Ovis aries: one gene and its partner. The protein of the gene in region 1 purifies or fractionates together with the protein of each later gene. This does not show direct contact. Links are inferred from orthologs where the notes say so. Each region holds a gene or a part of one and is shown in the gene's direction. Other genes may lie near its edges.

Region 1 (3,519 bases):
TTAATACATTTGGCTAAAGATACTTAAGTTGTATGTAAACTCCTGAAATAAGGGAATAGGAATAGTATTTTACAGAGTAGTGGACACGGTTTCAAATAAGGTAACAGATAATATACTTAGATAATGAGTGATAGTAAATTCCTTTGCTAAAATTAATTGACCCTTACCTTATAGATGATGGGAGAATAATGAATTTAACACAAGTTAAATTGTACTACATATATATAAATATGTTTTCTAAAAGTTACTAGAAAAGGCAGAAGCCCGTGAACGTGAAAGAGAAAAAGAGGAGGCTCGGAAGATGAAACGAAAAGAATCTGCATTTAAGAGTATGTTGAAACAAGCTACTCCTCCAATAGAATTGGATGCTGTCTGGGAAGATGTATGTATACTTAAAAATTTTTTCCTTTTACAGTTGAAAATAAAAATCTTTTTCTTTCTCATAGCTACAGAGATAAACTGAAGTTATTTGAAGATTGTGAACTCAGCTGTGATGGCATTTAGGAATACTGGAGAAACGGAAATAAAGACAAGGGGGCTGGGCTGTCAATTTTCACTTGCTGTTTTTTTAGTCATATTGGTATATTTTTCTCAGTTTTCATATTTTTATTGCATATCTGAATTTTTCAGATCCGGGAGAGATTTGTAAAAGAGCCAGCATTTGAGGATATAACTCTAGAATCTGAAAGAAAACGAATATTTAAAGATTTTATGCATGTGCTTGAGGTAATTTTAGTTTTATTGTAATTGGCTGATACATTAAAAAATATGTAAAACATTTTTTTAAATCAAATTTAGAATGATCAAAGTGTTTTTCCTAAATTACACTACTTTTATATACATGTACTTAACTATCTGGGATGATTAGGGAATGGTTTATTCTATAGAAATTGCTTTTAAGTGAAACACACTAGGCTTGCATGAGAAGGTAAAGATCTGTTCTGTGAAGATAGTTCATATATGTTTCATATTTATACAGTGTTACAGAAGTTCATCAATTTAGGAGTCACATGGAATGATTAATAAACCTGTAAAGAACTTAGAATCTGTAAAGCAGATAGGAAACGGTTTTAAGCATATTTCAAATAGAGGTGTTGGAAGCACAGGGATGTTCTGAAAAACAGTAAGTTTTTGCTAAAACAAGTAATGATAAAATTGCAAATTATTCCACTAGCTGAATTAAGGGTATTTTGATGAAGATTTCAGATAGTCACTTATAGATAGTAAACATGCTAAATTGACCAATAATAATTATTATTTGGTGCCCATGTTATGTTTTATAAATATTACATATACGAATGTAATCCTCACAGAAACCCTGTGAAGTTACAGATGAGCAAACTGAGCCCAAGAGGAAAAGTAATTTGCTGTGAAGGGATTCCAATGTAGGCTTTGACTCTAGGGCCAGTGCTTTTACCAAGTATGCTTTGCCATCAGTTATGGATAAACTTATACTTCACAGCAGAGTGAAGTTAGCATATACTTAAATTTGTAATGTTCATGGTCTTTGGGAATAGTAGGTAACTTAATTGTTGATGATTCTTTGGATTTATTGTCCTTGATAAGTATCAGTGTTGACAACAATTTGCTCTGTTAACATGCCCCACATGTACCATATGTTGTCTCTCAGCTGCCTTTAGATCTAGTGCTATTGGCCTGTAGATCTTTTCTACTCAGATCAGCAGCATTTGCGTTGTCTGTAAACTTGTTAAAAATACAGAACGTCAGGCCCCATTGGCAGAAATGTATCAGAATTATTATTGTTGCAAGATTCTTAAGCACAGGAATGTACATTTAATTTTGAGAACCTTTGCTGTAGTGTAGTGTGTTAATATTTTCCCCTAATTCAGGAATGTCCACAACAAGATTCTTTCATGATCTATGCTGGTAAAGTGATGAGGTCATAAATGGAGCTGATGACCACATAGGGAAGAGCTGAACATACCAGAAAAGGATTTGGACCTCAAAAACGGGCGTTGAGGTAGAAAAGGAAGAAGAGTTAACAGTTAGTGACATAAAAAGTGAGAGTCCCTGGTTTGGGAGTAGGGGACTTCTACTGCAGCATTTCCTCTCTCCTTCTAGCCTGATCATTGTTCTAGTAAAATAGTTAAAATCCATAGAACATTTCCTCTTTTGATTTCATGTGTAGTTAGATTGCCTTTGGATATCTTAAGTTTGACTAGGAAGGGAATGCTCCTTGAAAAGAAAGTAGATTTTGTATTCAATTTCTGAGACTAACCTCCTTGACAGATGGCTCTGGGATAATCCTTTATTTCAGTGGTGAACTTAGCTCACTGACAAAAGGCACGTTCATCAAATAAATACTATATAATTATATTTCATTGTTTTTGAAAGTAGTATGACTGTTCTGAAGACATATACCTTTATAGAGGGTATCGGTTGTCCCCACTGTACCCAAACCATTCTCATTGCTGTAAAATGTATTTTATTAATACTTTTAAACCTGTGTTTAGATGTGAAATGAGTACGTATAGGATAGTTAAAATGTTCTCTTCGCTTTTAAGTGATAGTAACTCTTTGCACAGTTTCAAGTTGGGGAGTACATCCTAAAAAGGCAAAATGAATGTCGTTTTTACTCTAAAAAGAACTTACTTGCAAAACTATTAAAAATTCTCTGTGATCTGTTATCTAAAGTGTGAGCTTTTGTAATTTTTTTCTTTTGCCCCTGTAGCATGAATGTCAACATCATCATTCAAAAAACAAGAAGCATTCTAAGAAATCTAAAAAACATCACAGAAAGCGCTCCCGCTCTCGATCAGTAAGGAAGTTTATTTCAAATGGTACCATAAGTATATTGAAGTATTTATTACCATCATTATGAATAAAATTATTTATGTTGTGTAGGGGTCAGATTCAGATGATGATGACAGCCATTCAAAGAAAAAAAGACAGCGATCAGAGTCTCGTTCTGCTTCAGAACATTCTTCTAGTGCTGAATCTGGTAAACATATCTTTTAACTTGATTAAAGTCATTGGCATTTGGATGTCCTCAAATTCTGACACTTTTCTTTTCATGCTGCTTAGAGAGAAGTTATAAGAAGTCAAAAAAACATAAGAAGAAAAGCAAGAAGAGAAGACATAAATCAGTAAGCAGACTCTTGATTTTTATACTGCACCTAAGCTTTTGCCCTTAGCTTTCTCAGTGGCAGTAGACATTTCTGCTTGGTCCTATACAGAGTTTAGGTGAGCACCTGAGCTCAAGAGTTTCATAGTTGTGGTTCACCTTAATCTTGCAATAAAATCCTTTGGTGAACTTGAAACAAATAGTAATCTTAGAGAAAGACCCGTGTGTGTGTGTGTGTGTGTGTGTGTGTGTGTGTGTGTGTGTTATAGCTATTGTTGAGAACCACAAGTTTAAGCAACTTTCTCTTCTATGCTCGGTTCTTGGTCTTAGGTACACATCAAGATACACCTAATCTTAGGGATGAAGGTACACCTAATTTAGTGACCCATTTTTAGTGATAATTTACCCTATCAGACTGTCATGTTTCCCATAGG
Region 2 (3,519 bases), on another chromosome or scaffold:
TACTGTGTGCCTGATAGCTTTAATAGAATCACAGGCTAGTACATTGGGGCCATTTACATTGATGTGATGAGAGAATTTCATGGGCCACAGAGCATGCCTGGCTTGCTGCCTCACACACGTGTGAAATATTGGTTAAACTAACAGTTTTCAGCTTTGGGTTAGTTTCTGTGTGAAGCCTGTTTTTACTCAGATCTAGCATACACCAGTCGTTCTCCCAGTGTTTGGATAGGCGTGATTCCCTTGGTCAATGGGCGCTGTTTTTAGACACTAACTGAGGTCTCCTGCGGAAAATCAGCTCTAGTTGCGCTGCTTTTAGTTCCTGGTGTTTATTTGGTCCCATAAACCACTGGTTGGTCACACCTTACCTCCCAGACAAGTTAGTCTTTTCTTGATGGTTCCTAGTGATTTCACTTTTGTTTTATTTAAAATTTTCTCATCATTATATAGATTTCCTATGGGCTATCATCTCCAATTCTTCAGGAATGAGGGAGAGCAAAAATGAACAAAGAGAAGGGAGTGAACAGAAGGAAGCAGCAGAAAAAAGGAAGAGAGGAAAGTTCACTTTTTTCCCAAGCTAGTTTTCATATATACATTACTTTGTTGAGATATTCCACTTAATTGTAGCTGAAACGAGGTCCACCAGTTACTGAAATTCAGTGCTTTTAAATCTGTAGTGGGCATTAAATTCCTTCCTCCCCTGGAATAACCATCATTCTCTTGAATAAACACTGTTAAGATTTGACATGTATAAAATCATGGTTTTATACATGTATAAAATGGTTTATACTTTTATAAAGTATACATGTATAAAATCATGGTTTTATACATGTATAAAATGGTTTATACTTTTACTAAGGTATATTGTTTCATATATACATGTATTTGTATTTGATTAGAATCCATGGCATCACAAATCTGCCGTTTGGTTTTATCCCTCTGAATTAAATGCATGAGAACTTCTTACTGCTGAAAGATGTATAGTTAACCCTTGAACAATGCTGGGGTTAGGAGTATCAACTCTGTGCAGTCAGAAATCTGAGTATAACTTATAGATGGCCATCTGTATACAGTTTTTGTGTCTATGGTTCTTTGTCCATGGACTTGACCCACCTCAGATTGTGTAGTGCTGTAGTACCTATGGCTGAGAAAACACCACTTGTAAATATGTATGTGCATGCTCAGCTGCTCAGTCGTGTGTGATTTTTGGTGACTCCATGGACTGTAGCCCACCAGGCTGCTTTGTCCTCGGGAATATCCCAGCAGAAATACTTGCTGACCCAAGGATAGAACCCGAGTCTTCTTTGACTCTGGCATTGGTAGGTGGATTCTCAGACACTAAGCCACCTGGGAAGGCCCCATATATAAGTGGACCTGTACAACTCAAACCAGTGTTATTCAAGAGTTAGCTGTAGTTCTGGTTTATGCATGCAGCATGCCAGAGTGCTGTTTGCTTCACACCGTTGCCATTGTCTGTACTGGCTTGATCACTGCTGGAATTGACTATCTTGTATCATGTTCATCGGCCCTTAGTATTTTTCTTATTCCGGATTTTTTTGTTTGTTTTCTGAGATGCTGATAAGCGTTAAAATCGAGTTTAGAATGCAGTGCAGAATTTGGGGCTAGAATTATATTCTGTGTCTTTCTGGCTTGTATGAGGAGTTTACAATTCTGCAGAAACCAAATGCTAAATTTTGGCTTGTGAGTTTGTATCTTATTTCATATTGTCCTCCTTTCTCTTGGTTTCTAAAAGAAAACAGAGGATACTGACAGATTCTTACAATCTTTTATGTAGAGAAAAGAGCAGAGATCGTGAAAGGGAACGGGAGAGGGAAAGAGAAAGAGAGAGAGAACGGGAACGAGAACGGGAACGTGAACGAGAGAGAGAGCGAGAAAGGGAACGGGAGCGTGAGCGAGAGAAGGACAAAAAGCGAGATCGAGAAGAAGATGAAGAAGATGCATATGAACGAAGAAAACTTGAAAGAAAGCTCCGCGAGAAAGAGGCTGCCTATCAAGAGGTAAATTGAGGGAATGCTTTTATTGATAAAAGTTGGTACTTAGTAGGTTAGTCAAAAATTTCAGAACCTTTTGTATACATTTTAAAAACTTTTGACAATTTGTCTTGTTAGCGCCTTAAGAATTGGGAAATCAGAGAACGAAAGAAAACCCGAGAATATGAAAAAGAGGCTGAAAGAGAAGAAGAAAGAAGAAGAGAAATGGTAATTTTCTTGTTTAAAAATAAGTGGTTTTTCAGATAAAAATCAGATCAAATCATTTAAGTAGAAGTGACTTTATAATTAAAAAGTATCATCTCTCATCAAAAAACCTGAGCTCCAATATAAATAATATTTCAAGTGAAGTTGAGACAGTTTCAGTACAGCAAGATGTTTCTTCCTCCTATTCTTTTTTAAAATATTTATTTTTAATTGATTGATTGCTTTACAATATTGGTTTGACTTCTGTCATACATCAACATGAATTAACCATTGGTGTACATATTTCCCCTTCCTCTTGAGTCTCCCTCTCGCCTCCTTTTCTTCCTGTTTTTCACATTTTGGCCTCCTATAAACTAAATTATCATTTGGCATATTGTCAAAGTAAACCTGTATATAATAATGTATAAAATGAGGATTTATAGAACTTTCTTTGATTAAACATCTGCAGCATTTTTTAATTTGAAGAGGGTTTTAGAGGCTTTGATACTCTATCGGTGTAGTATATTTGGGTGAAGGAAACAGTCTTACGAGAAGATCTGTTTTTAGAAATCAAAATTACTGACTTCAGTATATAGCACTTATGAGTTACTGTTTTTCCTTATGTTACTATAATATCCTTCCTTTTAACTACACTATAATAATGAATTATAATAATAATGAATAATGCAATTATTTTTTGCATTTACACTTTGATAAGCTAATAGTGAAGCAATTGGCATAGGTTAATGAAGTAAAATGATGAAAAGATAATATATTTTATCATAGTATTTGCTTCTATAGTATGTTCCATATGTTCTGTCTTTGCCAGAGATTCATGAAAGTTTCTTTATCTCCAGTTTGGAGTCTATTCTCCCAAAAACATCATTAAAGTTAGGAACCTTCTTCAAATAGCTTTTGAACATGAGACATAGATGGAATTTTTGTAAGTAACCAAAGGGGTGCATACAGCAATTAGATAGTATGGGTTTTCTGGATGGCAGATCTTTTAAAGTCCTAGAATTATTTAAAGTGATTTTGATTTCCCTGGATTGTAGCTCCCATTCTATAATTTGTTCTTAACCCTTAGGTTAGAAATAGAGAATAATATAGTAAAAGACAAAATACTTTTAACAAGTGATTCCATTTCCTATAAGCAAATCTGAAACCTGTCTTTCTAGAGAAAGGTTTCCTATTAGTAATTTTTTGGGGGGAAGCTTAAAAAACCTCCAGTTAGAAAATAGTTACTTGTCAGTTGAAAAATGTTCAAGGAATTTGAAAAACGTTCAAGGAACAGAAGTATGTAGTATAAAAAGTGAAAGTTTGTATT

The links. Proteins that work in one complex are often made in the same cells at the same time.
Region 2: the proteins of PRPF40A (region 1) and RBM25 purify together in Homo sapiens (affinity purification with mass spectrometry; 5 studies listed by BioGRID and IntAct, with this or other methods). This does not show direct contact. The link is inferred for Ovis aries from reciprocal best matches to the Homo sapiens genes PRPF40A and RBM25.

The regions. Positions count from the first base shown.
Region 1 is NC_056055.1:156,955,817-156,959,335, forward strand, and holds part of PRPF40A (pre-mRNA-processing factor 40 homolog A), read left to right. Parts: intron 1-244; coding exon 245-382; intron 383-630; coding exon 631-726; intron 727-2,692; coding exon 2,693-2,779; intron 2,780-2,865; coding exon 2,866-2,962; intron 2,963-3,045; coding exon 3,046-3,107; intron 3,108-3,519.
Region 2 is NC_056060.1:82,674,253-82,677,771, forward strand, and holds part of RBM25 (RNA-binding protein 25), read left to right. Parts: intron 1-1,792; coding exon 1,793-2,015; intron 2,016-2,126; coding exon 2,127-2,216; intron 2,217-3,519. UniProt on the Homo sapiens protein: RNA-binding protein that acts as a regulator of alternative pre-mRNA splicing. Involved in apoptotic cell death through the regulation of the apoptotic factor BCL2L1 isoform expression.